2 linked regions of the Arabidopsis thaliana genome follow. The protein of the gene in region 1 interacts with the protein of each later gene in a pairwise test. Each region holds a gene or a part of one and is shown on either strand. Other genes may lie near its edges.

Region 1 (3,758 bases):
CCAATGCGGCATATCTACTTTGTTCTATATCCAACCATATGTTGTATTATAATATATTTTAGGTCTAGATTGATCCAAGCTAAAATTTTGGATTCTTTTTTAAGATAGGACAAAATAATTATTGCCCTATCTTTTACGTAGCATAAGAAATGTACATATATAGATGTATATGCAAAACCTAATACAAAAAAGTATATTTTCCACATCCAAGATAAATTATTGCGTCTCATCTATCACAATGTGAACAAAAATAATTATTTTCTTCTCTTAGTTACTATGAGTTCACAATATAATACTTTTCTTTAGGTTAAAGCTCTCAACTGTTGATGAAGTACAAGAACTCAAAATTGTGAATGAAAAAAAGGGACATCATCCAATATCAGGCGTGTACATATTAGCATTGTTGTGTATCTTTTTATATTATAGTCCATTAGTCCTAATCGATAGATGTATTTTTTTTTGTTTTATTAGTTATAAAAACAGACATCTATTATTAATTTGTTATGGTTAATTGGTTATTGTATATTATTATAGTAGAAGTGACGTGAGGTACCAACGTATTAGATTATAAATATAAATAATGGCCAAAGACAAAGCCATTTGTCAAAACTTCAACGTCATTATAACCTGTAAGATTAAAAATGAACAATAAGAAATCATATTTAGCAAAAAAAAAAAAAAAAAACAATAAGAATCATTTGTCAAATCTTCAACATCGTTACAGTGTATAATTTATATTTTGATTTTTTGTTCTAAATGATCAAAGTTCATATATAAAGTTATTTATATGCTCAAATTTAATCATCGAATATATATACAATTTGTCTATGTTATTTGTCAAAGACAACGTCAGCAATAGTTCCATATACTCTCTTTTTCTTTCGGAGTCTTTATATTACTCACGGAGATATTAAATTATATTTATTTTTTCACTGAGATATTTTTTTTTTTTTGGTTTAATGTTAATAAACTCACTGAGATATTAATTAATACATGCAATCTTTATCTATATTTCCCATTTTTATTTGTAAATGTGTCCCTTCTCGTGTTATGCGAGGGTCTTTTTTTAACTTTTTAATTTCTCATTTGGAAGCTTTCATCTATAAATATATGCACTAGCTTATTCTATATATAACATAAAACCGAAAAAAGGTTTTGTTCACGATGTGGATTCTCTGTTCACGAGAGGTTTTGTTGAAAAAGAAAGAAAGAAAATAATTCAACTTGAATTTGGAAGTTTGGTTACAGATCACATCATTCGACAATAAAAATAAAGACATATATAACAATTAGAACAGTAACTAATTTGAATTTCAGCTTCGATTTCTTACGAATCACATGGGGTCAATAAGGGTGGGGCTAGAAAAACACGTACGTTTGGAGACCAATGTGTGTATCATTCCTGCATGCGCATCAGATGTGTTTCACTCTTCAGAAAAACGTTTATTTTATTTTGCATGTCACAGTCGTAGCTAATTATCCGTACGCATCTTAATTACGACTCCATTTTACACACCAATTTATGGATATATAATTCAGACAAGATGAGTTCTCGTTTAATTTTACTTCTTTCCATTTGTGGAAGTTCATATACTATTGTGAAAATTTGAAAATAACTGGTGAAAGAGGAAACGTCCATATTTGTGGGCTCTATTTATAATAATAACAACAATATTAATTGTTTAGGTAAAAATTAACAGAACTATTTTGAATTACAATCGGAAAAAGGTTTGCGTCAAAAAAGTATTGATGAACCATGCATTTGATATAAGCATTTATGTTTGTTCAATTTACTATTAAGCAATTAAGTCGAATTTTATCGAATCATTTTAATTTTTACCTTTAACATTTCTGTGATCTTGAAATCTTTAAATTAACAATGTGAGTTATATACACTAGAGAAAAATAATTGCATTCCACTGAAAACCTCAACATCTTGGGAAATTTAAACTTAATCAAAGACATCGCAAATGTTGCTTATCTTTTTATCAAGCCCAGCCCACATATTCGCGGCCCCAAAGCCCAAAGGTTAAGCTGACTCGTTACAAAATAAATAAGTATTAATAAAGGTTTTTGATTGGCTTATTTCGGTTTAAATTTAATACCATATCTTTCGGAAGATCACGTGAGACACATGTGACATCCAACGAATAGCCAATCGCTGAAAAGTGAAGACTTTTTGTTACCCCATAAACAAAAGCATCATCTCTCTCTCATCTTTTATTTTTCTTTTAGAAACCAAACTTTTCAGATTTCTCTCTCTCCATTTGGCGATAGAAGAAGTCATGTACCAATCATCATCCTCCACGTCATCATCATCGCAGAGATCATCGCTTCCCGGCGGCGGAGGACTGATCCGTTACGGCTCAGCTCCGGGATCGTTTCTAAACTCTGTGGTTGACGAAGTCATCGGAGGAGGCTCATCAAACGCTCGTGACTTCACCGGCTATCAACCGTCGTCGGATAACTTCATCGGTAACTTTTTCACCGGAGCTGCTGACTCATCCTCGCTGAGATCCGATTCGACGACTTGTGGAGTCAACAACTCATCCGACGGACAGAAACAGCTAGGCAATAACAATAATAATAATAGTAATAAAGATATCTTCCTCGACAGATCCTACGGTGGATTCAACGAGATCTCGCAACAACACAAGAGCAACGACATCGGAGGAGGAAACAGCTCAGGATCTTACTCTCTCGCTAGACAACGTAGCTCTCCCGCCGATTTCTTCACCTACCTCGCCTCAGATAAAAACAGTTAGTCCTTTTTTTACTCAAGAATAGTAACTGTGATGAGATATATATATTTAGACAGACAAGTTTACTCATTTTCAGACCATTTTTCCTTAGAATTTGCCAAAAATCGTAATGTAGAATATGAGCTATATAGTTTTCAGTCATTCAATCATTCATTGCTCAACTAAAGATCCGTTTTTTGGTGAAATGAAAATCTAACCACGAGGGTATTTTCGGTATTTCTCACTGTGAAGTATCTAGTTTCTTACAAGTTAATTAACGACTATGTATATAAAATAAGTTGACATTGTGAGCTTTGATATTTAGGGTCGTTGCTAAATTAGCTTGGTTGGTACTTGTGCAAGACGTGATCCTCGTATTTTCGGAATGACGAAAATACCATTTGATCCCTAACCACGTGCTTGAAAATACAGCAAAAATGTGGCTCGGTTACCCTTAATTTGGGATATTATTTAAATCTTCGAGGATTCCTATATCTCAAGTTGCATTTATTTATTTAGAGGATGGATTTTTTCGTTGATGACCAATAGTTTCTCTGCTGAGATGGCGAAATATCATTGGTTGTGATGAAGATTATTCAAATAGAAAGCGATGTAGATCTAGTTGGTGGATCTGATCTGTCCACTTTTATATTATTTTTTCCTTGGTCCTGATGATTCGTGCTTTGCTTCGTTGTTATCTAATCATAATATCTTCCACCAAGCCTGGATGTGACTTCCCACACCTAACCGGTCACCGGCCTGAACCGGAATTCAACTATCCATATTATCCAAAAATCCCTCTTTATTTACTTACATTATATGGTTTCTAATATTTTGGATGTGAATGTGAATTATTTTTAAAAATAATTTTCACGTAATGTCATTATAATATAGTTTACTTTGTAAATCAGATTTCTCGTTGAACCAACCAACCAGTGATTATAGTCCGCAAGGAGGGTCTAATGGGGGACGAGGACATTCCAGATTGAAGTCTCAGCTAAGCTTCACGAATCACGA
Region 2 (3,758 bases), on another chromosome or scaffold:
TCTTTTCAAGACCCGATTTAACTCTAGCATAAACCCAATTGATCATTATCCTCAGGCGAACGAGTTACGGCAACGACGGTGGCTAGGGTTTCCTCGGACTCTCTCTAAGATTTTGACTAAGGAGAAAATTAAGGAGACTACCTATCTATTTATAAGGATATTAATCGGCTAGGGTTTTCTTTTTGTCTAACGAAATTTTAGGTTTACTCTCTCGTTACGGGCTTATATGGATAATTAAGGGCTTTTCTCCAATGAGTTTTAATGGATTTACATGAGTTTCATATAGAATTGAGACTTTTCTTTTACTTAGCGATTTGGATCCTACAACAATGGCCACTAAATATGTGCCTACCAAGCGACACAAAACATCAAACATAAACCATGTGGCACTTAAGATTTGAGCTTCTAGCGATTCTTGAAGTAAAGCCATATCAGATGGCTGATGTTAGCTTGCACAGTTGCACTTAAGCATAAAACAGACTCAATGCAATGCAATAACTTTGGCATTTCAAGTTTATTCTTGTTCCATAAAGCACAAAATTCTGCATATACTCCGTAAGTTCCGGAAACAATTTGGAAGTCGCACCAACGCTTTGCAGCCTTTCATATTCAAGAGAAGAGTTTTTTGGAATACAAGTAGGATATCAGGACCCTTTAGTGCACTGCCTTCCAACAAGAGCTTTCTTATCTATTTGAAATCACCTAAAATTGTTCATGGTGAGAATTGTCAGAGAATTCAACTTCATCTATGGAAGGACGGAGGGCGAGGAGAGTCCGCGAAGCCTTCAAGATTTTGAGCGCCTACTAATCCTGAAACTGCGAACCGCTCACATGAATGACTAAGATTGAGTTAATCATCAAGATAAAACAAGCCTTTCTTGCTCCTAATTTGACCTACACAAACTTATAAACCAAGCAATCGAGTTTATCATCAATGGAAAGAATTTACACTTTTTATTGCATATTATGTGGATGTTAAGTATCCTACAACTGTTAGTTGATTGCAAAGACAAATGAAACCATGAACCATTGTGGTTATATCTGAATATAAGGTTAAGAATCTAAACTAGTGACAAAGTTATAAACCTTACCATTCTTGTGTAAGAAATCTATTAAAATAAGAAATGTTGGTTGTGTAACACATAATGCCTCTTCTGTATCCAAATCAAAGCCTTCTTACATCATTATTCTTCCTCTTTATCAGCAACTTTAACCTTCTTCTTTACCCCATCTTCAAAACCACCCACCGACTCGTTTCTCCTCTTATATATACTCAAAGGATCACAAAGCAAGCTCTTCTCTTTCTCTACATCACTCTCAATTTCTCTAGAACCACAATTCCTAGCATTGTCTCCCTTACCATCCACACCGTTTTCTTTCGACATAGACAACAAAACACCAGCAAGATTACTATCATCTTCATCCCCAACAACATCACACACATTCTCCTTCTCATCCCAACAAGGAAACTCCCTACACTGAAACCTAAACTTCTTAGGCACATAACCACTACACTTCCATAACTGCCGACTAAAAACCGAAGAAACACATTCAAACAAACCCAAATCACCACCAGGAACTCCTTGTACATGAACCCTTTCTTCAATTGGTATCTCTGAACAAGCCTTCAATACAACACTCTCACTACTCTGCGTACATAAATTCTCCATTCTCAACGATTTAGTAACCGATAACTTGGACAATTCATCTTCATTGTTTTTTATCTTACACTTGTGGCAAACAAACAAATCATCACCTTTAACATAACGAGAACACCATGTATGAACCCAAACACCACATTCATCACAATCAACCATCTCTTTACCATCATCAAAATTCACACCACAAACACAATCTACTGTCCATGATTCATAAACCCAATCTTCGTGTGGCTTCATCTCAAATTTACCCCCAAAAAAAAAACTCTAAATTTCTCTGATTCTTTCACAAATTAACCCAGAAATCTCCCTGAATATCGAAGCTTTGTCAAACCCAATTCGTTTCTTCTGAACGACGATTGTAATGTTACGCGAAATAGCTTTGCGATTCTTGATAGAAAAAAAGCTATCTTGACGTAAATCTATGGTTCTCGCTTCCCATTTCTGAACGAAGAAGACGAAGATAGGAACCATAATTACTAAAATATGGGCCGGTATGGGCCGGGATGGGCCGGGATGGGCCGGGATGGGCCGGGATGGGCCGGGCTTAGAGGATAGGTACTGTTTTTTTTTTGTGGACGGACCAAACGATTTCATTTAAAAACCAAAAGCAGATAAAAAACAGAATGGTCAAGCTCAAAGAGGAATACAAGCGGAAATTAACGGTCAAATAACTAAATCATAATGAAGTTAGCAAAAATATTTGCACGTATAATTTAGCCTAAAGACACGTGTAGAAGATGTGTTCTTCTGAAAACCACTCGTCACGTCGTAGTACCAAAATCTTCTGGGTCGATCATATGAAACCGCTTCAAAAAGATTTCGAAAACCGCTAACTTCGGGGAAGCTATATCACTGACTACACCCAATTTGATGTAGTCTAGGATCAATCTTTCTATGTACCTTGAATAAAAACAGAATGACGAAGATATTACTTCTTGAGCAATTAGGGAAACAAAAAGAATTTGGAAGACATACAGAAAAATCGAAGGAAAGATATTGGAATAGAGATATTGGAAGTTGAAGTTTTGATTTTTAGGTTTTTTTCTTTGATCGTTTTTATGCTAATTTTGTGTTTGTTAAAGCTGAAACTTCAATGAGATGGCTTTGATTTATGATTTTTATTTGGGAATTTTAGTTTGTAGATTTATGTTTTGTATGATCATTGAATCTTTGAATAACCCATGCACTAGTAAGATGTTATATTATAATATATGGATACTAGACTTGAATTGTTCTAATTAGTAGGAAGAGAACTATTGTTGATAAAATAACATGTACAACTAGTGTACCTGTTAGACTATCTACATTAGTTACATGGTTACAATGTCCACTTTTCTCTTTTCAACACTCCACATTATAATTCAATACCTACATAATTTTTACTTACTACAATAGTTTTGTTTAATAAAATTACAACACATTACCCTACCATTATTTTATATTTTTTATTTTAATTATGTTTATGTTTTTTGTGATTAATTAATTACAATTAATATCAAATAAAATTAAAATAAGTAAAAATTAAATATTTTAAAATATGAAGGATAGTTTGGAACAGTTGACGATATAAAGAAATTTGGTGGATAACCATAATTTGTTATATTATGTTGATGGTTAGGAGATTGATGTTGGGTAGTTAAAAAGGTAATTAGAAAAATTTTGGGAGTTAAAATGATATTATTATGATCTATTTCACTAAAAAGACGGATAAAAAATAAACAAGAGTTTATGAAGGATGATAGCAAAAGTTTAATTTAAAAAGATGGGGTTTTTGTGTCCAAATTAATTAAAACAAGTCTTTATTTTTGCTATAAGCCTTCATAAATTGGGGATTGTTAGGAGATTGATTTTGAAACTGATAATTGTTCAGATTTTGGTAGTTAAAAAAGTAGTTAGAAGAAGTTTGACATTCCTTAAATGTAGTGATATTGAAATTTTTTGACATTCCTTTAATGGATCAATGCATTCTGTTCCTATCCTTTCTTATATGGATTGAGACTAAAAATTCTTTGAACTACCACCGCTCAACTTTATCATGATAATTATAAGTCAACTCAAGTATTTATAGATTATCAAAGTCTTAATCCGAACTCGATA

Evidence for each region. Proteins that work in one complex are often made in the same cells at the same time.
Region 2: the proteins of AT1G05805 (region 1) and AT4G10600 interact in a two-hybrid assay, tested with the Arabidopsis thaliana proteins (one large-scale study listed by BioGRID).

What each region holds. Positions count from the first base shown.
Region 1 is NC_003070.9:1,742,558-1,746,315, forward strand, and holds the start of AT1G05805 (basic helix-loop-helix (bHLH) DNA-binding superfamily protein), read left to right. Parts: upstream 1-1,886; 5' UTR 1,887-2,285; coding exon 2,286-2,760; intron 2,761-3,652; coding exon 3,653-3,758. Other genes in the region: DGL (alpha/beta-Hydrolases superfamily protein), read left to right, coding at 1-62.
Region 2 is NC_003075.7:6,546,750-6,550,507, forward strand, and holds AT4G10600 (RING/FYVE/PHD zinc finger superfamily protein), read right to left. Parts: upstream 2,130-3,758; 5' UTR 1,899-2,129; coding exon 1,185-1,898; 3' UTR 1,092-1,184; exon of another isoform or gene 920-1,091; intron 817-919; 3' UTR 486-816; downstream 1-485.